Saccharomyces cerevisiae S288C: one gene and its partners. The protein of the gene in region 2 interacts with the protein of the main gene of each other region in a biochemical or structural test. Each region holds a gene or a part of one and is shown on either strand. Other genes may lie near its edges.

Evidence for each region.
Region 1: the proteins of BBP1 (region 2) and CDC5 form a complex in vitro, tested with the Saccharomyces cerevisiae proteins (2 studies listed by BioGRID).
Region 3: the proteins of BBP1 (region 2) and MPS2 form a complex in vitro, tested with the Saccharomyces cerevisiae proteins (3 studies listed by BioGRID).

The regions. Positions count from the first base shown.
Region 1 is NC_001145.3:268,413-274,188, forward strand, and holds CDC5 (polo kinase CDC5), read right to left. Parts: upstream 2,725-5,776; coding exon 607-2,724; downstream 1-606. Other genes in the region: YMR001C-A (uncharacterized protein), read right to left, coding at 2,935-3,165; MIX17 (Mix17p), read left to right, coding at 3,781-4,251; AIM34 (Aim34p), read left to right, coding at 4,706-5,302; MVP1 (Mvp1p), read left to right, coding at 5,605-5,776. UniProt on the Saccharomyces cerevisiae protein: Protein kinase required for the cell cycle where it is involved in mitotic exit. A component of the fear (CDC14 early anaphase release) network which promotes CDC14 release from the nucleolus during early anaphase. Phosphorylates SCC1/MCD1 and NET1.
Region 2 is NC_001148.4:66,121-76,684, reverse strand, and holds BBP1 (Bbp1p), read right to left. Parts: upstream 8,961-10,564; coding exon 7,803-8,960; downstream 1-7,802. Other genes in the region: GTPase-activating protein GYP5, read left to right, coding at 1-16; 60S ribosomal protein eL36 RPL36B, read left to right, coding at 446-461, 700-986; ATG41 (Atg41p), read left to right, coding at 1,966-2,376; YAH1 (adrenodoxin), read left to right, coding at 2,804-3,322; VIK1 (Vik1p), read left to right, coding at 3,679-5,622; HFI1 (Hfi1p), read right to left, coding at 5,734-7,200; cyclin CLN2, read left to right, coding at 10,071-10,564. UniProt on the Saccharomyces cerevisiae protein: Component of the spindle pole body (SPB) required for insertion of the nascent SPB into the nuclear envelope and for the proper execution of spindle pole body (SPB) duplication. Connects the central plaque of the SPB with the half-bridge.
Region 3 is NC_001139.9:359,123-369,690, forward strand, and holds MPS2 (Mps2p), read right to left. Parts: upstream 8,967-10,568; coding exon 7,803-8,966; downstream 1-7,802. Other genes in the region: KXD1 (Kxd1p), read left to right, coding at 322-978; RNA-dependent ATPase DBP3, read right to left, coding at 1,166-2,737; HNM1 (Hnm1p), read right to left, coding at 3,103-4,794; 60S ribosomal protein uL30 RPL7A, read right to left, coding at 5,213-5,842, 6,311-6,404, 6,864-6,874; stress-responsive transcription factor HSF1, read left to right, coding at 9,631-10,568. UniProt on the Saccharomyces cerevisiae protein: Component of the spindle pole body (SPB) required for insertion of the nascent SPB into the nuclear envelope and for the proper execution of spindle pole body (SPB) duplication.

The DNA of each region.
Region 1 (5,776 bases), on a different chromosome or scaffold from region 2:
TAAGTTTCTCCCGCCTTGAAAAAAGGAATACAGTAATAAAATGAATATAAATCAGGATTTTTTGGATTTTAACTAGGTAACAAAGAATTAGCAAATAACTGCCCATAATAGTATTCTTAAGTTTGTAGATACATGTCAAGTAAGCCAGCTTTTGATAAAACTTAAAAATTGGTAAACCGCGGATGTACCAAGTGAATAGCTTTCAAAATTAATGTTGTCACTCTTCCAATGGGCACCTGTAAGAATAATTAAAAAGAAATCTAGGTTCAAAACAATATTTTTGAGAAAATCTCAGGAAGCGACAGGTTATCATCCCATACATACAATATGAATACAAAAGCATGGCAATTTTGAATAGATATAGCTCTAGAACCGCTCAGGCGAAAAAAAACGCTATATGAGAACTATTGAAAAGGAAGAACTAACATGAAAGATGTTTGTTCATTTCGTACCTTTAGAAAAAGGGTATTAATGCTAGGGGTAAATATTATATATTATCTTCGTTAAGGGCAAGACCATTTATTTTATTTAGTATTAGTTATTAATGGGGCCCAATCAATGGACTGGTAATTTCGTATTCGTATTTCTTTCTACTTTAATATTGGTTTAATCTACGGTAACAATTGTGGACTTCTGCTTCAAACCTTCCTTTATCAAAGTTAGTTTCTCTCTAAAGTTACTTTCTGGATATCCTGGGATCTCGCCATATTTTAGTACTTCAACTAAGGGATATGTGGTGCTTTCATGGGAGGGAGAAATGTAGGTCACCAATTTACCTCCGTCGGATATTGCCATTTTATGATGATCTTTGAAATTGAACTGGAAAGTACCATCACTTAGTTCAAACATAACAAATGGTTTATACCTTGTGTATCTTCTCAAAAATACATCATCTTTATGATATTCTTCTCTGCCAAACGTAGATACTCGGCTCAAATTTGCCTTCATGTACTTGGCAAAAAAATCAACTACTTCTAAATGTCTACTTAGCTCTCGTGGTTTTTCGCTCAATAAATAATGACTTGCTACCCAACCTTCCCGATCGTCATAACTAATATACCAAAACTCTTCTGCATCTGCCAATCGGAGAACTGTGGTGCCATTATTAAATAAGACACCAATATCCTCTGTTGATAACTGATAGGAGAATCCGTGTTTGTTGGAGTAGTCGACCCACTTGGTAACTATCATTGGGTGTTTAATTTTAGGCAATCTTGATTTCGGAAGACCTCCCATTTTATACTGAGCTTCTGCTTCTACAATGCCATTCAAAGTAAGATGACACTCACTGGCTAATATTCTCAAGGAGATTTCTGATTTAATGACATTGGTCGATGTAGCTATTAATTCTTTTCTCAAAACGGCCTGTTGTGCTCTACGTATCCTTGCTTCACGAGCCAAATCGTTTAATCTTCTTTGTGCCTCTATATCAACAACCTCCTTATATTTCTGTTTCGTCCCGCCAGGGGATAAAGAATGTGGTAAAAATGGTCTGTTTTGGTGGTACTCTTCTAGTTTATCGATACTAGATTTAATTGAAGAAATATAATCCCTCTTTTGACGCTGAATTTTATCGCTGCTCATGCTTTCTAATAGTAGAGATTTTTCCATGCAATCTTTGAAGTTAACCAGTGACTGCTCTTCAGGAATATCCTCAAAATTTGGTGCTTCTGACATGACCGTCGAAGGAATAGATGGTGGGAAAGTTCCCCTAAACCATACATAATCCATAATTTCAGTCAAAGAGGGCCTTTCTATTGGATCTAAGGATAGAATGTCTCTTATTAAAATCTTACCTTCATCTGAGATTGGTTTATCTCTTGGAAACGAAAAATCACGACATTTGATTCTTTCATAAATAGTGTTTACATCTCTTGCTTGGAAGGGTGGCTTACCAATCAACAAAGCATAAAGCATAACACCTAATGACCAAATATCTACTTCAAATGAATGTCCAGAATGCTTACCCATCAACACTTCAGGTGCGATGTAATTAGGTGTTCCGCATATGGTGTATTTACGTTCACTTTCATTCGCCAACACAGCTGCCAGACCGAAGTCACCAATCTTTAAGTTATAGTTTGAATCGAAGAAGATGTTACCAAGTTTTAAATCTCTATGTATAACTCTTCTTGAATGCATATACTTAATTGCACCACATATTTGAGTGGTGAAAAATCTAACTTCTGGTTCTGTTAAAACTTTTCTTCTTTTTAGTAATTCCATTAATGAACCGTTGGGGCATATCTCCAATAAGATATAGACATTGCTATCATCCTCAAAACAATCAATAAACTGAACGATATTTGGATGGGACATACTTTTATGAATTTGAATCTCCGACAACAACTTTTTTCTTGTCTTCTCTGATTTAATTGAGGCTTTAGCAACTGTTTTGGCAGCAAAAATTTCGCCTGAATCGTCCTTAATTTGGAAACAGCGAGCAAATCCACCTTCACCTAAAAAATGACCTCGGTGATAGTCTTTTCCTCTTGTTTTGATTAATGAAGGTGGTGTTTTACACAAAGCTGATAACTTTTCCCTTTTCTTTTTTTGAGCTGGCTGGTGGTGATGATCATTATTCGGATCTAGTCTCTTTGTTTGTTTAAAGTGATTTTCTTTTCCTACGAGGTCTGCGGTATTTCCCTTTATTGGGGTGTGAACTAACTTGGAACGGGTATTCAATTGCTTATCATTGATAGCTTTAAGAGGACCCAACGACATCTTTATTCGACTTGATCTTACTCTGTTCTTTCTTCTCCACGGCTGTGATTTTTATTCTCTATGAATAACAAATGTAACGTTTATCGATGAATGAAAGAGAGTATATATAGAGAAGATATAAGAAAGCCAATGTTTTTGTGTACAAAAAATAATACTCAGCTCAATTATACAAACTTGACTATGCAGTTTAGCTTTTTTGTCTTTTCTTTTTTAAGTTTTCTTGAAAGTTAATGTAGTATATGCCACAAAATTGAAGGATGAAAAAATAGGAAAAAAAGCAGAATCAGAATTTGACACAAAAGGCTTATTGTTCTTTGAAACTGCCGCTTGAATTGGATTTACTTTCTCAGTGATTCTATATGTATTGTACGAAAGTTGAGTAGCACAAGAGTAACTGTTCAAGATATGCCTTGTTTCAAAGGATGTACATTCAAAGATCATCCCAGGTCCTCGAGATATTTATTCGTTCTATATTTTGGATTTTCTTTATTGGGTTTGTTTTGTTTTGACCCTTTTAGGTAATATCTTTTGACAGAGAAAAGTCCAAAAGTTCTTCCGGGTGATGCTACATAATGCCCTACCCGGGCAACATATAGAATAAGGTATATAAAGTAATAATATGCAGTGAAGTTACCACCGGGTAACGCATCTAGAACAGCTGAGATGAAAGAGGATAGGCTTGATCGCAGATTTTGCCCGCCCTATCTTTTCAATGTTCCTTCAACAATAACATAAATTTTGATGTAAAAATATGCTGGCGTCCTCGTACGATTCCCTCTTCATTTATCACAGAAGATGGTGATGATTCTACACATCTGGAAGGCAATAACAGTGCAACTTCATTTTCCGAGGTTCGGTTATGTCATGTGTGCTTTTATACGGCAAACGCCACCTTGAACAAAGGTATAAAAGAAAAGCGCTTTTTCACTCCACCGCAATCTCCGCGACCTATATAAGCCTATCACTCGTACAGTTTATAACCTTTAAGAAAAAGGATTAATATTTCGAACAAAGAACAGAACAAGAAAAGCAACAACAGCAACAAAATTCTAAAATATGGCACGTTCAAGAGGATCATCAAGACCTATATCGAGATCGAGACCTACTCAGACAAGGTCCGCTTCTACCATGGCGGCTCCAGTTCATCCACAACAACAACAACAACCAAATGCCTATTCACACCCTCCTGCTGCAGGTGCCCAAACGAGACAGCCAGGTATGTTTGCGCAGATGGCCTCCACTGCTGCAGGTGTTGCCGTTGGTAGCACCATTGGACACACCCTAGGTGCAGGTATTACCGGTATGTTTTCCGGATCCGGGTCTGATTCCGCTCCTGTTGAGCAACAACAGCAAAATATGGCCAACACCTCCGGCCAAACCCAAACGGACCAGCAGTTGGGAAGAACTTGTGAAATAGACGCGAGAAACTTTACACGTTGTTTGGATGAAAACAACGGCAACTTCCAGATATGTGATTATTACTTGCAGCAACTAAAAGCCTGCCAGGAAGCTGCACGTCAATACTAAGTTTAAAAGCTCAAAAATTTAGAAAATATTCACTAAAATCATACATTTCGGTAATGTTCTTGTTTTAACCATGTCATTTGACTTATTTTTTTTTGATGGTTTTTCACAGAATCGCATACTCCACGTGAGAACAAGAAAAAATGAAAGGAATAAGGACTAAATGTCTTATATATATGGATATTTATTTGTTTTATTTTGTATGTAAATAACTTTTATAAATCAAATCATCCAATTTATTGACTTCATAATCATTTAATCATCTGCACCCCCACCGCGCGGTGTGGCTGACATTTCCTATGAAGTTCTCAACAGGGGAGGGTAACGTAGTACCTTCGAAGAGTTTGTTTATTTACTATATTTTATGCTCTTCTTCAGAAGGGCCTGTGATACGCATGTTTCTCAAAAAGACACCTAGTGCAGCTGAACCGGCAAAGTAAAGCTTCTGAAAGAAGACATGTCAATTTCTCTATTAGGTAGAATTGTTTCACAACAATTCTCCGGCATACGGGCGGCTGAGCCAGGGAGATCTCTATATTTACCGTTTACCTTACTATTGAAACAGCCCGGTGCTTACAAGGTGAGCCTACACAGATATGTACATAGCACCCAAACGAAGAGCCACTTGAGCTTTTTAATGAATAATAACGATATAACACCTTTTCAAAAATTTACAGTTAAAGTTCTCAAAGAGCAGTGCAAATCAAGAGGGTTAAAATTATCAGGTCGCAAATCAGATTTGCTACAAAGACTTATCACGCACGATTCATGTTCAAATAAAAAAAGTAGTGTGAAGATAAATGAACCCAAAAAAAAGAGGATATTAATAAATGATCCAATCAAAATCACGAAGAAATTGGTTAGTGATAAAACTTTTAGAACTATTGAAAAAAATATTTCTTCACTGCAGAACACACCTGTTATCGAAACTCCCTGCGACGTTCATTCACACTTGCAACCAAGGGATAGAATATTCTTATTAGGATTTTTCATGTTATCGTGTCTTTGGTGGAACCTCGAACCTCAGGAATCTAAACCTACCATTGACCATTAGAAATATAATTCTAGCACTGTAATTAATTGAACTGTATATTCTTTCATAATTTATTAAGACACTTTTACTTTTCTCTACGCTCTCAATAAGTTATTGTTGATCCAGATCATCTCGATATTGCCGTCATTTTCGGTTAAGGTAGGCGCTTTTACGAAACACATGCCAGAAAAAAAAGTGAGGAAGGAAGGTACAATGAAAACAGGGTGAACGCCACTTCTTTTCACCCAAGTTGTAAGAGAAATAATAGTAAAAGCAATCGAATTTGGATTCTATAAAACACCACTGAGGCGAAAAAAAAAGTAATGGACAATTACGAAGGCAGTGATCCTTGGAATACCAGTTCTAATGCATGGACTAAGGATGATGATCACGTCGTTTCTACCACCAATAGTGAACCCAGCCTCAACGGAATCTCTGGTGAGTTTAACACCTTGAACTTTTCAACACCTCTGGACACAAATGAGGAGGATACTG
Region 2 (10,564 bases):
AAAAGTTTTTAAATAGATGTATAGTTTTGCGCTGTGTGCACATTGTGTGCCTCTCCAATTTGTGTTAAAAAATGCATCACGACTCGTTTAGACAATGTTGTTGTTGTTGTTTTTTTTTTGACTGTATTTTCACCCGTACATCCACGGATGTGTTGGGTTTTTGTTTCCGCTTTACCGTGCGGGAGACGACCATGACCGAGAGGTCTGGTTGCGAAAGACGCACATACCGCGTGCGCGGAACTTTTTCATTGGGTTGCCAACCAAGGCTGTTCAGGGAAGCCCGACGAGGGAAGCTAGCATGAATGCACTAGGAGAGAGAGAGAGAGAGAGGCAGAGGAAGAGGCACATCATTGCATTTCTTGAATATTCGTTTTAATTAGCGTTAAGTCTTAAGTTCGTGTATTACCATAGTCAAAACAGAATAGAGAAGCAAGGATAATACAAAATGGCTGTCAAGACTGGTATGTTTACCTGAACTAATGAACTGTAGAGCAAAAGCAAAATGAACTGAACCACTAAGCCAACAACAGAAATACAAACAGGATGAGATTAAGCTCCAGAGATATGCAAACATCGTTTATATCCTGCACCCAGCGTTGCAGTACTCCGTGGAGTCTTTGTTTATTTATTTTGCTCGTATACTACGTGAGTACTAGTGTGCTTGTTACTAACATAAGATATTCTATTTTTTTCCTCTAGGTATCGCTATTGGTTTGAACAAGGGTAAGAAAGTCACCCAAATGACTCCAGCCCCAAAGATCTCCTACAAGAAGGGTGCTGCCTCCAACAGAACCAAGTTCGTCAGATCTTTGGTTAGAGAAATCGCCGGTTTGTCCCCATATGAAAGAAGATTGATCGATTTGATCAGAAACTCCGGTGAAAAGAGAGCCAGAAAGGTCGCCAAGAAGAGATTGGGTTCTTTCACCAGAGCCAAGGCTAAGGTCGAAGAAATGAACAACATCATTGCTGCCTCTCGTCGTCATTAAACAGCGTGAGGGGGCCACAGTCAAGCAAATCCAACTCCGCCACAAGACCGAGTGCTATTTTCCATGGCTCTCCCCCAAAGCTAGTTAATAAAAAATAAGTAACAAATCATTATAGTAATTCTTAATCGATATCTATTTAAGAAGTGTAACAGCACATGCAATGAACCGACTTCGTCATTCATTACCTCTGCTTTTCCCTTTTTCAACAGTCACGTGCGCATCTCCCTTCCGGGTAAGCACCGCACATGCCAAAGACCCTATCCTGGCTCGCCCACTCACTCATCTCCATTAGAGACTCAACCACATTTGTGGGTGTGTTACAGAAGTTACACCATACCCACTGTCCTGGTCCGCAACAGTTGCAAAATCAATGATGCCTGCTACCGTCATGCTATCATGACAAACGATGGCACCTTTGCCAAGCAAAAAACTGTAAACAAAACCAAACCAAGAAGTCCCTTGGGGTTGTGAGCCATATTCTCCATCTGCGTTGTTTCATAACCAGCCCAAAGGGTTGCACGTTCTCTTCCGTCGATCTGGAACCAAGCTGTGGCGCTGCGTGGAACCGTCCGGAAATCTACAGAAGCCGTTAGAAGAAAACAGAATAAACACACGTGACCCCGTCAGTGTGGAAAGCCGCGGGATCACCACCGTTATTCGTTTTTTTTAGCACGCGCGCGAAGATGACACATTGCACACCACATGTTTATGACCATTGTTATTACTCATTTCACTGTTATTTTGCATCCACATCCACACCCGGGTGGTTTTGCAATTCGGTAATTACTCCACGGTGCATAAAGAAGCGGCTCTGCGTAAAAAGGTATATATAAGAACAGGACTCATCTTGATTTCGGAAAGGGTCTGGAGCAACTCTCTTTCTTTCTTACTTGTTTTATTCTTGAGAAAACCAAACTAAATTGGCTACACCAAACCAACCAAACTTACACACAATAATATACAATTACAATTATTTACAATGTCCTCTGTGGAATCTTCCCCCATCTCGCGCTATGAAGACGAGGTCTTCCCTCTTTCGTTTTCAAACGTTGCTTTCGAGCCCCCTATGCTCTCGCATAGCCCGGACAGATCGACTTATGCCGATGACTTTTCTCAATCTTACCAGCAAGAATTGCTAACTTTTCCGCTATCGTACCCGATTGTCGATGAGTCAGAATGCACGCACACTAAAGATAAGACGGACAGCAACATAATAACGAGTACTGAAGACGATTGCATGTTCGATATGGAATTTAACGGCAACGCCGCCAGTGCAGTTGCTGCTGCTAGTAAGGAATCTAACTCTGCCTCTGGGTTTGCCTTTGCAAGTAACGATGCCTTTGCCAATGTCGCACAACAGAACTACAGACTGTGGTTGTCATCGGTATGACGCATTTTACCACATCTCTACTTGTTCTCACGACCCCTTGCATCGCATATCCTACACATTTTAAATCGGCATTCCTTCCAAGCATATTCTTAATTCCTAATTTTACATAGTTTTTTTTTTTTTTTAGAGAAAATAACAACAATATACATAGAACTTACTTACTCAATTCTACTATATCTTTTTTTTTTGTTACTATTAGTCATGTTTGCATGACTCCATTACATTTTCGTTTTTTTGCTAGCCAATTCTGGTCGTCGGAAAAACTTTTCATTGAATCTTTCAAAGCGTGTAGCAGTTGCATTTTTTTAAAAATGAATATGTATGCAAAATATATATATGTATATATATGCCTAATATACATAATAATAGAAAAAAAAAACCTCATACGAAATAGGCGCTTCTCGTATCTATACTCAACCCGCCCCCAATGCTGAAAATTGTTACTCGGGCTGGACACACAGCTAGAATATCGAACATCGCAGCACATCTTTTACGCACCTCTCCATCTCTGCTCACACGCACCACCACAACCACAAGATTTCTGCCCTTCTCTACGTCTTCGTTCTTAAACCATGGCCATTTGAAAAAACCGAAACCAGGCGAAGAACTGAAGATAACTTTTATTCTGAAGGATGGCTCCCAGAAGACGTACGAAGTCTGTGAGGGCGAAACCATCCTGGACATCGCTCAAGGTCACAACCTGGACATGGAGGGCGCATGCGGCGGTTCTTGTGCCTGCTCCACCTGTCACGTCATCGTTGATCCAGACTACTACGATGCCCTGCCGGAACCTGAAGATGATGAAAACGATATGCTCGATCTTGCTTACGGGCTAACAGAGACAAGCAGGCTTGGGTGCCAGATTAAGATGTCAAAAGATATCGATGGGATTAGAGTCGCTCTGCCCCAGATGACAAGAAACGTTAATAACAACGATTTTAGTTAATGTCTGCATTTTTACCCCTCATTTGTGCCCCCAATTTCTCCTGTGAATAATCTATATATATATATTTATAATTATAATTATAAGGAAACAAGTCAACTTTATAATATACTCTTAAACAATCGTTTCGCGATATCCTCTGTCATGCCTCCACTGCCAGGTCTTTATTGTTTAGTCTCAATAATCGCAATTAAGTTAATAATATTTGCAATTGCGGCAAAGAAAAAATAGGTAAACAAAGAACTGAAAAAACAAAAAAAACAAAAAAACAATGAATATAGAATATGAAATGCCCTAACAACACACACATACACACACATTCTCCTCGCAAAAGCACCATTTCCTGACCAGTGTACTTTATGGCGTCACAGCAAAACAAACACGCTTTTCTTTCAAAGAATAGAATCTTTCACAATCCCGATAATGTGTCCTCATCAAAATCTCGAAACCTTATGGATATCACAAACACGACAAACACCATGAATGGCTCTAGACCTTCGTCTATGAAGAGTTCATTGGCTCTTCCACCCGTAAAGGATTCCTTCCCATCTGTATCTCGATCTGCATCATTAAACATCAACATGAGCAAAATTAAGGACTTAAAAGACCGCCAAGACAAAATAAGGTTCCAAAGACATACTCTCAGGACTCAATTGATTGAGTGCGAAAGAGAAATCAAAACCATCAAGTTTCGAGATCTCAATAAGTCCAGGTTTGAACTTTATAAGAAAAAATCCAAACAAGCAAAGTATCTCAAACAGGTTAGAGATTTGACGCAAAATCTGAACTCCAAGGACGGTGAACGCGCTGATTTAATTAAGAAGAACAAATCCGCTTTGGCAACCTTGCAGGCTGAACTCGACCAGAATCTGATCTTGAAAAGGCAGGAATCTCAAGAATTGTACAATAATAAGCTTATCTTTTGGGAAAATGAGCTGCAAATAATGGAAAATGTCGAGCCTGACCACGAAATCACAGAGGAAATATCTCAGTTGAAGAAAACGCTGCAAGAGCTCAACATAAATTGGGCGAATTTACAGAAGCAAAACTTGGAAAGACAAGTAAACCACGAATCACAATTGAGGAAGGATTTTATTGCATTCAAAGAAGCTAAGTTAAAATCCATGGAAAATTTGACAAACAAACATCGTGAATTACTTGATCAGATAGCCACTCTACAATCGGAAAGTGAGAAGTTACACAAGGAGATCATGGATATAGATAGACAAGCTGAATATTCGGAACAAAACATCTCAGAAATAAATGAAAATATAAAACAATTGGAATTGGCAAACAACCCACTAATAAGCAAATCCTTACAAAACTCGCAAGATTTGGAACATTTACAAAACCAAATGGAAAATTTGAAAGAAATGGCCTCTAAACAGGAAAAATTTTATAATGATACCTATAACACTGTGGAAAAAGAACTCCTGCGGAGTAGGAGACTTGAAAACTCTATTATTGAACAAAAAGGCACGATGCGCTGTTACGCTTACGTGATGGAGCAAAATTTGCCTGAGAACCTTTTATTTGATTACGAAAATGGCGTAATAACCCAAGGTCTAAGCGAACATGTTTACAAATTTAATAGGGTGATACCGCATTTAAAAGTTTCTGAAGATAAATTTTTCACTCAAGAGTATAGCGTTTACCATGATATGTGCCTGAACCAAAAAAAAAATTTCAACTTAATATCTCTAAGCACCACTCCACATGGCTCATTGAGAGAGTCTCTAATAAAATTTTTGGCCGAAAAGGATACAATATATCAAAAACAATATGTGATCACCTTACAGTTTGTATTTTTATCAGATGACGAATTTTCTCAGGACATGCTCTTGGATTATTCCCACAATGATAAAGATAGCATAAAGTTGAAATTTGAAAAACACTCAATTTCTTTGGATTCCAAACTTGTCATCATAGAAAATGGACTCGAAGATTTGCCCTTAAATTTTAGTTGTGATGAACACCCAAATTTACCTCATTCTGGGATGGGTATAATCAAGGTGCAGTTTTTTCCTCGAGATTCAAAAAGCGATGGCAACAATGACCCCGTACCGGTGGACTTTTATTTTATCGAGTTAAATAATCTGAAGTCCATTGAACAGTTTGATAAAAGCATCTTTAAGAAGGAATCATGCGAGACCCCTATTGCACTTGTTCTGAAAAAACTAATTTCTGATACTAAATCCTTTTTCTTGCTAAACTTGAACGATTCAAAAAATGTCAATAAATTATTAACGATTTCAGAAGAAGTTCAAACACAACTTTGTAAAAGAAAGAAAAAGCTCACTTAAGCTCGGTCACATTATCGTCTTTCTTAACACAGCCATTTAGATATGAAACAAATAAGGTTTATAATCTTTCAATATAATTACAACATACCGCATACACACACTTTTTATACATCAATCTTCCGTTAAGATTCCTTTAATTAACCAATTTAATTCATGCCTTGTACCAACGTTTCTTTCATCCAAAGGCGTGAAAGTCGGCTTTTCATTTAAGAAGTCCGGCAAGTCGTCAATATTGCTCTTCATATCTACTAGTTCATCATCGTTAACTAGCCCTAAATTAGTTAACGCATAGTATGAACCTGAAGGTTCAACCAAATTCGGAAATATAGATAACGAATCATATATGTCTTCATTCGTTAATGATATCGTTCTGTTTTCATGTAACTCCTCATTAACTGCTTCGCCAGCCTTTGTAATGCTGCTCATTGATATGTCGCCAATATCGTCCTTGCTACTGTTATTGCCGTTATTAATACTTTTGGCTTCATCGGCACATTCATCCTCATTTTTATCATCATCTAACTGCTTAATTTTGGCATCGCGTTTATCAGCAGCCATTTCTGATACGGATTTATAAAGCCCACTCTCATTCAAATCATAATAATCTGAATATTTCTTCCTTCTATAACGAACTGTATCAATAGTAAACTCTATTATATTTTTTAGATATTGATCTAGGGCCAATGATATAAGCTCTACGCAACGTGCGTCCACTGTGCCGACTAACCCATGTTCTCTTGCTATACCAACCATTCTTAAGTAAAACGAATCCGTGTCTGGTAAAGAATGGCTTTCGCTCGCTAAAGGAACGTTGAATCCATTCATTATATCTTGTGACCATTCCAGCGGCGTTTTTAAATTATTGCTCTTGACACGCTTCAAACTTTCTGGATTGGTTACAATGGGAATTTTGGGTATATTATTTAATCTGGCTTGAAATACAGAGCAAAAAATGAAGCCTCTTTTGCCGGCCTCTTTCGTGATCATTTTAAGTCTATTTCGATCATTTAGAGGTAACGACATGACAATTTTTTTATAGACTTCAATTTGAGAGTTATGCTTATTGATTCTTTTTAGTTTATTGTTTGGATTGTTGCTTCCATTGCCAAATCCCCAAGAACTCTCATTACCGTTTCTCCCAAGAGGGTTTTCACGTAATGAATTAGCAAAAATCCCTAATAAAAGTTGGTTATGAAGTCGTACTAAACTATGGTGATGATTTGTATTTGATTTTTCTAAGCTTGCAGCGCTTGGTGAAAATACCAGCTCTAATTCATTAGAAAGTTCCTTTCTGGATAACTTCCCTAAAATGAAAAGACTGATGATCTGAGCATATTTCGTCCAGCTTTCTTTTCCCAATAGTGAGGTTAATTCTTCGATCATGGCACCCAAATCAATTCTCTGATTTGGTCCCTGAGGCTCCGCAGTTTCATTGTTACCATTGTTAGGCTCGGTATGATTACTGACGGCAGGACTACCAATTAGGCCCGGCTTCATATATGCATTCGTGGAAGCTGGCGAAGCAGCTGGATAAGTTGGCTGCAGAGGTTTAGGTGCTGGCGATTGTATAGCTGACATGATAGAAGAAATCAAAACTACTGGGCTTGTTTTCCCTATATTTTTATTGAATTTTTATTACCACTTATAGCTCAAAATTTATACTGTGGGAAAAATCACGTGCGAGAAAGTAAGCCCTATCCAATGATGATAACGAACAGACGAATGAAAAGAGCAACGATACTTTGTTAATCTGTTGTAAGTTCGATGTTCAAGGCACAAGTAGACAGAGACAATTTCGCGTTGCACCTACTTCTATCCTGAATTTTATCTTTTTTATTTTAACAAATTTATGTCACATCGTAACTTCAAGTTTCACTTTTTTTGTTCAAAATCGCAACCTGATAATGAAGAAAAAATGGGCGGGAATTACAGCTCGTGTTGAGTGATGATAATAAGAACGTATCTTTTTTTATTCCGTTATCTATATAATGTACATACCTAAGTAGTTAACACATTATCATTGCTATCATGACGTATTTTTAATGTTACAGTGGGAGAAACGTGTCAGCTTTTCTGCTTCAGCGTTCTATGAATCCGTCTATATTTTTTAAGTAATCAGTGTCCCATGAATGCGAATTAGAGTCGTAACTGTTATTTCCATTGTGGAATGGAGTCCTGTCCTATTGTCCTGTTGAAAAAATATTCGAACCAGCAGAAGTATCTTTTCTCTCGTTATTACGAAGGCTAAGCTGTAATAATAAATCATGTATTTCGGATTCATAATTGTCCCGCTGCATGTCCTTTTCTATTTGCAAATTGGTATATTTCAGCTCTAAATCGGATAGTCTTTGCTTCAATGTTTGTATTTCAAAGTTTTTCAAATCCTCCTCCTGATACAGCCGTTCCCTAGAAGTGGCCAGTTCAGCCTCATGACTGATCGTTTGATCAAGGACCTTTTTCAAACTCTTGTACTTCTGACCTAATGAATAATAATTTTCAAAGAGTGTCTTAGATTTCTTCAACTCGTTGACCAGTTCTGCTCTCATTTCCTCGTATGCTTGCTTATAAGTTTGCTCATTCCTGTGGAATTGCTCACGCTGCTCTCTAACATCCTCACACAAATCTTCCAGGTCTCTACTGTTCAAGTCCATTTGTGCAAAAAGATCAAAATATGCCTTTTTATACTCTCTATTCTTGTGGCAAGCATCTTCGTCCCGGACATAGTAATTGTCTATTTCATCACGTTTTGTTAAGGGAGATGGAAATTTGCCTGGTATATCTTTAACCGATAACTTATAGGGCGATCTTCTAACCTCATTAACTCCATCCTTGTTAAATAATTTCGAGAGCAAAGGGTCGTCTTCCTGAGGTGGTATAAAGGGTATCTGCGAATTGGAAAGCTCATTTATAGTTCTCCTTTTTGTGTGTAGTCTGTGACCAAATGTATCCGTAGGTTCGTTACGAAGTGGTTCTCTCGGTACTATCGGAGCAGGACTTCGTAAAGATCGTATTCTCTCTTTGCTGTGGTGGTCACCGTTAACAATTGAGTTAAAGCCGTTCTCGTTGTACTCTGGGAGTAACTCGTACTTCCTATGGAGCGTTGAATCCAGACCAGACCACGAATTTGACCTCGATAAGTTTGTACTCCTCCTGTTGGAGTCATTTCCAAACTTCATAGAAAAATTTGTGTCGTCTTGGGCATACCTAGATCGGTCTCTTCGTTCTTCCTGATCTTTATATTTCATTGAAGGTGATATGTCCGTACCAAACAGCGCATCCTTAGTCCATTTGAAAAGACCAAAAATGCCCCCTCCGCCCGTGTTGTCTTCCTGATTCATTGTTCAGTAGTCATTCGCCTCTATGCTCCTTCGAAGATTGACTTTTTTCGTTGTTTTGATTTCCTCGTCTTCAGTCTCTTTATGTTGTATTAGTTTTCAAAGTGTCAAGTTTTTCGTGATTTTCACCGAGCGACACAAAAACGGGTCGCGTCAGAAATAATTTTAAAAGAGCAGCGTAATATACCGCTACAGAAAAATTGGTTCAAGTATCCATTTTTAAGCATCTTTGCTTCTATTTACTCTTGAAAATATTCCTCCAGTATCGCCTGTGTTGGAGTGCGGTAACTTTTATTGTTTTCTCTACGAGTGAAAGGCATTTTTTGAAACCACTATTCGTTTCCTTCTGTAAGTTATCTCATCTTTTTCGTATCCTCCGCACTTTTACCCTGAAATGCGAACTAAAGCAACTATACATTGTTAATAATGATACTGAGGTTCAAAAGTGCCAAGTTATCAATTCATGCGCGCTTTACCCGGCTCCATCTTTCCGAAAACGGAAATCATCGCGAAATTTGTCTCAACGGAAGTACACGAAATTCGTCCCGCTGAACCTCAAAACTGCGTGTTCTAGTCACGAAACGCGCCAAAAACCGTTATGTTTCCGCATGCGGATACCTAGCGAAGAGCACATTTGGCGTAGCCTGTTAAGTATAACTGCTAAAAATTGAAATGAACACCAACTGAAACAACTGTTGGCCCTTTTTGAGGATCTAACCTGCGAAATGTTGATCTGACAGGCCTACTGAAAAACGGAAAGGAAAAAAGGCCTGCGCAAACGCAGAACGCAGATCCGCCTTCTATTTGCGTATCGCACGCAGCCTCTGGCTACTTGTTTAACTTACTATCTCTTTCATATATAAAAAAATAGCAATCGACTCTGGTAACTATTATGCTCCTCTTACTGGTTTTTTAGTGAATTGGCAATAGATAATATCAAGGACAACTTACTTTTATTTTAACATCTACTTTACTTCATCGTCAAATTTTCTTCTTATATACAGCATTGCTAGACTCTATAGCTGCCAATTCATTCGCTTACCACATCATAATTTGCATACAAAAGAAAATCTTTTCTTTTTTCCATTCATTCATTAAATTTAACGACAGACAATGGCTAGTGCTGAACCAAGACCCCGTATGGGACTCGTCATCAATGCTAAACCGGACTACTATCCGATTGAGCTATCTAATGCAGAATTACTTTCTCACTTCGAAATGCTGCAAGAATACCACCAAGAAATCTCCACCAATGTTATTGCTCAATCATGTAAGTTCAAACCTAATCCAAAACTAATAGACCAGCAGCCTGAAATGAACCCCGTGGAAACAAGGTCCAACATTATCACTTTTTTGTTCGAGCTGTCTGTGGTCACTCGAGTGACAAATGGTATTTTTTTTCATTCAGTTAGATTATATGACCGCTATTGTTCCAAGAGAATCGTGTTACGGGACCAAGCCAAATTGGTTGTCGCTACTTGTCTCTGGTTGGCTGCTAAAACTTGGGGCGGTTGTAATCACATCATCAATAATGTAGTCATCCCTACTGGCGGAAGATTTTATGGTCCCAACCCAAGGGCACGTATACCTCGACTCTCTGAACTAGT
Region 3 (10,568 bases), on a different chromosome or scaffold from region 2:
TCTCATTTTTACCTCTTCTCCTTTTCATATATGCATGCTATAGAACCATTATCTCTATGAGTTTCATTTTATTTAGTAGTTAGTATTGAACCAAACTACATAAGATGACATATTCTAAATAACCTAAATAATTATTATGTCTTTATTCAAATATTTCTTTTATATCCAAGACAATTTCCCTCTCATCTCCTTTGTATTACTGATTATATTCAGCCATTCAAAAAGTTAAAAAAGAACGTTTTTCACTGAAAAGTCGCAGCTATATTATAGTAAAATAATAAGAGAGGCAAAATAATGGTTACCAACACTTAGTGAAGAACAATGGTGACCGGAATATCGGAGGAAAATGATGATGAAGAGACTTTTTCGGCTGTTCATTCTTCAACACCCAGTATTAATTCTCAATCCTACGCGATTCCTATAACAGAGGAAATGTCCAGCTCTTTCCATGATTCGATCAGCACCACTAGCAACTCAAGTGGTAGCTTCGATAGTGATGGAAGTAACGTTTCAGATGTTGTGGAGCAAAATGAAATGGACAATGAATCTAACGTTGACGAAGATTTGTTCCTAGATAACGATATCCCTCAGTCAAGCAATTTGCTACCCACGGATGCCCAGGATCCTGGTCCAATATTTGACGTTTCTAGATATATTTTTGATTCTCTAAAACAATCTATTGATTCTGCTGATTTCTCAGAGGCACTTTCTCTACAGACCAAAACCTCCGCTGTTATAAATTCGAAAAGCCTAGAGCTTAAACAATATATTGATGAAATGAAGAGCAGGCTCACTCAACTGCAAGAGAAGTTTGAAAATGGTGAGGCTACTTCAAAAAAAATAAAACGTGATTTAGAAACTTCAAGAAAGAACATCGACTATTTAAACGCTGCTTTGCGTGTCGATTTCCCCATAGAGTTTAATCAGGCAAGAGAAAAAATTCTTGAGCGCAGATTGAATGAAGACCATGACTGCTGATATACTGAATCGTATTTTTTTTCTAGAAAATATGTATACTATGTGAGAGTCAATTTAAATAATATTAATGATAAATGAAAGTGGGCAGTTATAATAGTAATATACAGTGTTTTGTTAATAAATCTCCGACTCTCGATTGGCTATTATTAGAGAAGAAAATCCAAGATTGAAGTAAACGAAAAAACCCCTAATCGAAAGTAATTTTTTTTGGTTTCTTAGTCAAATCGACGTCCTTAAAGAATGAACCATAAGCGCTATGTTCCTTCTTCTTAGTGTGAGTACCGAACTTTATCAAATCTTCAGGAACAGGTTGATTGGCACCATTCAAAACGTTAACCAGTCCACCAGCCAAATGCTTTTCTTGTTCAGTGAACAGAGTGTGTGCTGTGCCTGTTTGACCAGCTCTACCAGTTCTACCGATTCTATGGACATAATCCTCCACAGTCAATGGGAAAGTTAAATTAATAACTGTCTTAACATTTGGTATATCTAAACCTCTTGCTGCAACGTCGGTGGCCAGTAACAAGTTAGACTTCCCGCTTTTGAACTCATTCAATGCTTGCGTTCTTTGTTGCTGGGACAAATCACCATGGATAGCTGCGACGTTATACCCGTTATATTTCAAATTCCTTTCAACACGAGCAGCTTCCTTCTTATAAAGAGCAAAAATCAAGACCTTTTCATTCTTTTTTGGACCAGAGTGGTACTTTTTCAACAGTTCCAATAACTTTCTTTCTTTTCCACGTGGGTCCACCACTTCAACAATCTGTGTAATTCTTTTGTTAGCAGTTAGTTGGTCCGTGTTACCAATAGATACTTTGATTGGGTTGTTCATGAACGTGGAAGCTAATTCACGGACTTCCTTTGGCCAGGTAGCGGTAAACATTAGAGTTTGTCTTTTGGACGCATCAGTTTCTCTGATAATATTCTTGATGTCTTCTTCAAAACCTTTTTCCAACATTCTGTCTGCCTCGTCTAATACTAAGTAATTAACTTGAGATAAGTCAACAGATCCTTCCTGCAATAGGTCTAATAATCTACCAGGTGTAGCAACCACCACTTGTGACTTTTTTAACTGAATTCTTTGCTCATCCTTTGGAACACCACCATAAACACAACAACACTGCATACCAACCTTGTCAGTTAATACAATCAGATTATCATAAATTTGGGAAGCAAGTTCTCTAGTTGGGGAAATGACTAGAACCTGTATGCCCCTTTTCTTTTGATCGTTCATTAAATGGCTGATAGCTGGAACACCGAAAGCAAATGTTTTACCAGAACCGGTCTCAGCAACACCAACAACATCTTTACCAGATAACAAATATGGCCAGGCTACGGCTTGAATAGGCGTTGGTTTTGGAAATTTGGAAATTTCTGCTTGAATGGAAGAGTCTAAAGAAAGATAATCAAATGATAATAGCGGACGTAGGGCTAGATCCAGAGAATCCTCAACAGCAATTTCATTTTCCTTGAAATATTCGTCAATATCAGATTGTGGAAGACTGGTTAGTGCTTCACTCTGAACATAAAACTCACTAGCCACTGCAGAAGTAGGTTCAGGTTTCTTTTCAGATTCTTTCTCTGGTACTTCCACTTCCTTCTCACCCTTCTTCTCCTTCTTATGCTTTTTATGCTTTTTATCCTTCTTTTCCTTCTTGTCTTTCTTATCCTTTTTGTGTTTCTTACTCTTCTTTTTTTCAATTACCTCCTCATCTACAACCTTTCTCTTCTTGTCTGCGATTTCTTCCTTTGTCATTTTAATCCCCTATATATCAAACTGTTAATACTTATGCTTTCGTTAAAAGGCTGTAAAATGAAGTTAAGCTATATCTCTGAGCTGCTATATTGTTGCCTATCTATTATTAATATTTTTTTTTTATTTGCTTCTTATGCGATGAGGTGAAAAATTTTTCATCTTTTTCCCGCAAAAATATTTCAAGAAATTTGAATTACAGTCACATCGCTTTCAAGAGCGCAAAGCCTGAGGGATATTTAGGTTGAAATATCTTAGTCCCTCGTCTAAAATGGCTTAACAAACCATTAAAAAAAATTCACTTTTATTACTTCTATGCAAATAATATACTTAAAATAAATAACGGTCGACTGATCAACACTATAAATTCACTTCTTTCCCCACGGTACGTGTTCATTTTCGAGTTCAACGTCAGAGGCCGCAACGGAAAATTCTCGACTATCTTCAATGGTATCGAAGTTATTACTATATTCAGCCTGTTCGTTCTCAGATTCTTCTAAAGCGTGGAATTCCTTCTTACCCTTGTATTTCCAGTAAAGAATCGAATACGCAGTATAACCAACAATAACTACACAAACATAGTTCATGTTATCCTTTGTCACAGGTAAAACTGGTGGAAAGGAAAAAAAGACCACAGAAAAGACAGTCCAACCCAAAAGAACAATGTTTGAAAAAAATCCAAATTTTCCAAGCCAGAATGGACCATGAGCTATGTTACGCTTTTTAGCAAGTAAACATATAACCGGAATGATGTAGGATAACAATAAAAATGCAATACAACCTGTAATTAAGGACTGAAAAGCCGTACTGGAAGCCAAATAAAGTAGGCCAATGAGGGTTATCCAAGCGCATGACATTAAATGAGCGTTCAAAGGTACACCAGTGTGTGGGTTAACTTGCGACCATAAACGGGATAATGGAAGACCATTGTCCCTGGCAAATGACCAACATAACCTTGCCTGCCAAGTGTGACAAGCAATGACGCAACCAAAAGAGGTAAATAGAATCAAGCAACCCAGGAAAATCGCACCTGATTTATTACCCAATGCCTGATTATAAATGTCCAAGATTGGGGCGCCTGTTGTAGAAGACAAGACAGCGTCCAGATCTTGTATAGAGAAGAACATAGCGATAACATAACAAAAGGAAGTGACAAACCCAATGGCGACTGTTCCCATGATAGCAATGGGAATAACTCTTTCTGGTTTTTCAACTTCAAACGCCATATGGGTTGCACAGTCAAGGCACGAAAATGACCAAGCTGGGTTAATCAAACCGACAATAAAGGCGATACCGCCGTTCTTCCAACCTGTTTCATTATTAAATGTGGCAAAAACAAACTTTGCATCGTTGAACTTTCCATGAGAACATGCCAATACAGTAATTGTAATTGTGAAAAAGGATAGTAGGGAAATGTATAGAGAGGAAGATGAAATGATAGGTAAGGATTTACCGTAACAGTTGAAAAACATCAAGAACAAATGCAACAATTCAAAGCAAACGAATATATGCCATCTCTTTGGGATGAATTCAGGGTGCGTCAGAGCGTACATACCAACCACTTCGGTAGCAACGGATAACGTAGTTGAAGCACTTGTGAACACGGATCCTGCGTAAGCAAATGAACCGCACATGTAGGCCGCAAATCTTTTGTACTTAGGAGGGGCAAGCTTCAAAGACCACCAAAACTGACCACCGGCGTGCGGATATGCGGAAGATAATTCACCCAACGAGGTACCAATGCAAATAGAAATCAGGGCAACAATAATTATACCGTAAACAATCATCATGGGTCCACCAGAAGATATACCTGCAACCATCGATGTAGAAATACCGAACCAGGAATTAGTCAAACCGAATCCAACACCAAGAATTGACCACAACGAAAATGACTTTCTTAGATGAACTTCACCATCTGCTGCTACAGCACCCTTGCTATCCATATCATCCAATGGCTTTATTTCCTCCTCAACTCTTAAGTCTCTTTTGTGCATAGAAGCGTTCGAAGATTGATCCGGCTGCATATAGCCACCGGAAGCATTATCATTCCGAATACTCATCGTTCTTCAAAATACTAATTTCTGAGTAAATGAGCCAGTTAACACTGAAAGATATTCTTTCTATGGAAGTTCGAAGATATTATAATTTTTCTTTATGCAAGCTATATATGATAAGCACAGACACCTTCTTTCCAATTGTTGGTATTCAAGGCTTTTATAAATAAGTTGGCTAACTTTCGTTGAAATATCGGCAGTTTAGAGAAGTCAAGGCCGCTTATCTTCAGTTTTCATTTTTTTTTTTTTCGTTATATAGGTTCTGCGCATGTGAAAAAAAAGAGAAGAAAATAAAGCCAATTATAAGTCATTACTGACGAAATTATAAGATAAATTAGAGGTACAATATACAAACTAGTGAATAACAGAACTATATAGGACTTAGATAAAATAAGTAGTTATATGTAATGTGACTTCAACCAGTTTAGTTCATGGACTTAACCAATTTGTTGATGAATTCTTCACGGTTACCGAAAGAACCACCTTGGATAAAGTGCTTGAACTTTCTTGGGACACCCCAACCACCAGATGGGTTGGACAACTTGAATGGCCACAAAAAGTTGTTAGCTTGCTTGAAGTGTGGACCAACAGTGATGATTTCGTGAATCAAATCGTCAATGGACAAGATACCATACTTACCCAAGTTGGCTTCGATGATAGCATTGTCGGACAATGGAACTCTTTGCTTGTTGATCTTACCGAAACCTCTCTTGTAGACCAATTGTCTAATAGTAGAGTACGATGGGTAACCGTAAGCAACGTATGGTTCAATCAACTTCAATAGTTCCAAAGTAGCCTTGGTAACTTTGACGAATGTACCAGAGTTGATTCTTGTCAATCTTAGCAATTGTAGAACCTTTCTTGGCTTAGGTGGGATCTTGTTAATACCCTTGATTCTGACAACGAAGACCAACTTGTGTTGAGCTTCGACGTAGTAGGAACCAGCAGCCTTGGCATCACGCTTAGCTTGAATGATGTTTCTTTCAGCAGTTTCGTATTCCTTTTGGTAAGCGGCGTTTCTTTCCAAAATAATGGCTCTCTTTTCCTTGTTAGCCTAAATGAAAATAAAAAGTAAAAAACAGTAAATTGATGTTAGTAAAAAAATACCAGATGGAAAACACAGTATTTTATGCTAAAAATTGTTACACGGCATTATCACTCAATGGTTTTTCTGACACTGGAAACACGGCAATAATTGTAACCTTAATACCTTAACTCTCTGGTCTATTTTACTTTCTATTTCTTTTCTTATAATCAGTCGAAAGATGGTGATAAGTTACGACAGCATCGTCAATGACTAGTCGAATATGTATTGGGATACAATGGATTTTCATCATAAAATGAGAAAACAAACAGAACGTAACAAATAGTCCATTAGCCTAATGATACCACAGGTGTTGAGAATATTGCAACTGTTCGAATGATACTTATCAAAATTGGCGACGCACGTGAACTCACATATATCCCAGTAAGAAAATGTGTTGCAGCATAAAATATAAATGTAAGCAAAAGTTTAACATACAGCCTTACGAGCAGCTCTTTCAGCAGCGACTTGTTCAGCAGTCTTTTGTTGAGCCTTAGACTTCTTCAACTGAGATTCTGGGGTCAAGATTTTTCTGTAATAATACAAATAATAAAATATTTTTGTTAGCATAACCGAAAATAGAATGAATTAGGTTTGTATGACCATCAAGTAAAACTTTTTTCTACGAAGTTACATCGAATTGAAAACACCACTTTTCATTCGAATGAAGGGAGTGAAACAGAGACACTTAGGAAATGAAAATTTGAGAAAATATTCTAATCAAGGTCGGCGATGAAATTTTTGGCAACAATCAAGATATTTCAAATTTTTCCTCAAATTCATCAACTAAAATTGTCTTTGACCCTGTGAAGGTAATCCCCTACGGAAAATCATCTTGTGAATAGTCACAAGTTGAAGATAAATGTAAGTGTGAGTGCAAATGCTATTAGAGCAGAATTGCTCCTTTTTCTCAACGTAACTTGCGGAAACTAGTATACTTCTCTGGATACTTTAGGAAATAGTAATAAAATAGACGATTTCGTATACATACTCAGCGGCCATTGTGATCTTAATTTGCTTGGTTGGTTATTTGGATTTATATGAACCGAAGACAATACAAGGCAGATCTAGTGTCTTGATTATTTCAATATTTCAGAAAGGATGAAGTTGTCAAAGTGATACAGATACAGATGGCAATGATTCTCAGAAGTCGCGTCCGGCAGCGACAAACCTGCAGAAAGAATTTCAGACAAAATTTGAAAAAATATATATATATATATAGGAAAGGTACGGATTTATAGATATGTGTGGGTGTTTATATGATCAGTAGCTATTCTCTACTCAACTGATGTGAACTGGAGTACAAATTATGCAAGATATTTTTTTGGCCAAGCTACAAACGTAATACGTAGAAGAATGGATAAAATAGATGTATTAAATATCAGCCCCGAAAGATGGTGTAATTTAAGTTGACAACATCGCAATTTTGCTAGTCACTTTTTGGAATGCCAGAATCGGCAGTATCATCACTAAATAAATACATCTCTTTATCCTATTCCTCATCTTGGATAGAGAGTTTACGCATCTGAGCTGTAACATGAAATATCACATGAACTCATATGAGATATAAGACATTAGCTCGTTATTATCAACGCTGCCACGCACATTATTTTGTGTTATGCATATCTAAAATAATAAAACCTGTGCTATTATAAGTATATATTTTTGTAACAAAATGAGAAAAGACCAAGGTAAAGAATGTGTTGCTGAAATATCGAGTTCATCCTTTTTATACTTCGAAAGGCGGTTTTTTTCTCGTTCATCGCAAGGGTGACGGCAGATGTAAAAAAAAAAAAAAAAAATAAAGTTAGGACTAGCGATTGTCGTAGACGCACATCAATGCTGAATTATTTTGAATTGAAGGATATCATGAACGGTTTACGTGACTATTTTCACTGTGTATGAAGTGGCACGGTGCAAAGGCCAAGGTTTAAATGCCGAATACTCTACTATATGCGTCATCCACATTGGCATTTGAACGGTATTCAGTTTCTAAATCTGTCTGATCTTCAAAGAACCATACAATCTTGCTTAATATGCCACTATTTTCCCACCATGATAATTGTAACCTTGAGTTTTGGGATGGTGTGTCATGAGCATATACGTATTTTCTAATGTATGGTAGGACACCTGCCAGTAAAGCGAAACAGACTATAATTCTTATTGTTGCTTTTACCCATATGTTGGAGGGAACCGCGGAAATAAAATTCTTGAAAGTCCCATCACCATCAGTGGTTGCATGTTTTCGTTTTGAATGTGATACCTTATCGTTACTGCAATTGAGCCCCCTTTCTCGCCGTATTTGATCCTTTAGGAAAGATATGGTGTCTGTTTGTCTCTGTAATCTTCTTCTAAACTCTTCCAGAATGGCTTTTTGATCGATTCCCGTTACCAGAGGTGATCCTGGGTCAGATGTTCTGGAGCTATTTTGATTATCTTCCACTTGTCTAGCTTTCTGTAAGTCGCTGAACCGCTGTTGTATGGAAGCATACTTTTCTTGATAAGTTTCGAGCCTTATTTTCAATTCGCTTACTTGTCGTTCATTTTCCTGAAGGAGGCTTTGTTTCGCAGTTAGTTCTCTTTTCAATTCCTCCACCTGCACCTCTAAGGCCTTTCCTATATTATTCCTGCTTAACAGCTTGATAGGTGATTCAGTAAGCTTCTTCCTAGGTGTCGAAATTCCAGCCCCCTCTGTATTCTTGTTCTTGTTCTCAACCAGAAATTTGGAAGGTGAATTCAAATTCATGCTTACGATAAAATCACTTGGAATAGAATCTACACCAATGAACGCGTTTTCTAAGATTTCCCTGAGGGGGTGATTAACCAAATTGAAGAAGATATCGTCAAATTCTTCTTTGTGTATTTTAAAGAAGGTTTTTGTATTAGAAAACGTGCGAAACAAATCTTTATTGATTTCTGAAAACAATGGCAATCGAAGCTCATAGGAACCACTTTTCTGTGCCTTTTGAAAGATATTCTCAATTATCTCGATTAGCTTTGGCAAATCTTTACCATATATAAAGTCTCCACTGATGGGTTTGTCAATTTGGCCCCATGCGTACTCAAAAATAGCATCAAACGCACCGTTACTCATACTTACGTTGTCAAAGACAGAATTGTTTGTAAAGCTTTCTTTCTTAACCTTGGAGCCGCCAAAAAAAATACTCCACTAAGGCCAGTAGCAACAACACGTTTTCTTGGATGATGCGTTTTCTTGAACAAACAGTACCGACTAGGACTGTTTCAATGAAGTTGTGTACGGTCTGGTAGTATATCTATATTCCGTGATGCCTTTGTGGAGGACGTTGAGATGAGACTGAGTCGTACACCATGTTATTCCTGTTTACGGTTAATTGCGCGTCGCGCTTTCTCTAGCAAATATCTCGGTTCGAAGTAAAGCAGGTCCTTCATGTAATGGTAACCTAAGGCAAAGGGTTTGTCATATACCCGTGAAGGCATTTACACAAGCGCACTTCTAGTCATATGCAGTTCATGCATATTAAGTGAGTGTTATAACGCAAGAGTTATATTTGAAATAGGGTTGTTAAAGAAGGGAGAACCCATTCACCACATTATCTTTGCGAGTGTAAAACTAGATAACTTAAATTTTTAGGAGAGATTTTGCCACTTGGCAGCAAATACCAAATAGCAGTACTGTTCCGGTAGATAAAGGCAAAGAGTTAGAGGTGTGCTTTACGAACAGCGCTGGAAGGGAAAGGAAACAAAAAAGACAAAAAGACAGCTGTATTGTTGGCGCCATGAATAATGCTGCAAATACAGGGACGACCAATGAGTCAAACGTGAGCGATGCTCCCCGTATTGAGCCTTTACCAAGCTTGAATGATGATGACATTGAAAAAATCTTACAACCGAACGATATCTTTACGACCGATCGTACCGATGCAAGTACTACATCTTCCACAGCCATTGAAGATATTATTAACCCCTCATTGGATCCGCAGTCAGCAGCATCGCCGGTTCCTTCTTCCTCTTTTTTCCATGACTCAAGGAAACCTTCCACCAGTACACATTTAGTAAGGAGAGGTACTCCATTGGGAATTTACCAAACCAATCTATACGGTCACAATAGCAGAGAAAATACTAATCCTAATAGTACATTATTATCTTCTAAGTTACTCGCGCATCCACCAGTTCCTTATGGGCAAAATCCCGATTTACTACAACATGCTGTGTACAGGGCACAGCCGTCAAGTGGAACCACTAACGCGCAACCGCGCCAAACCACAAGAAGATATCAATCCCATAAATCACGGCCTGCATTTGTTAATAAACTATGGAGCATGTTAAACGATGATTCTAATACGAAACTTATACAGTGGGCGGAGGATGGAAAATCTTTTATTGTCACGAATAGGGAGGAATTTGTGCACCAAATTTTACCAAAATATTTTAAACATTCCAATTTCGCTTCCTTTGTAAGACAATTGAACATGTATGGATGGCATAAAGTTCAAGATGTCAAGTCAGGATCAATTCAAAGTAGTTCAGATGATAAGTGGCAATTTGAAAATGAAAACTTCATTAGAGGTAGAGAAGATTTGCTGGAAAAAATAATCAGGCAGAAAGGTTCCTCCAATAACCATAATAGCCCTAGTGGTAACGGTAATCCAGCGAATGGTAGCAACATCCCTCTGGACAATGCCGCAGGAAGTAATAATAGCAATAATAACATCAG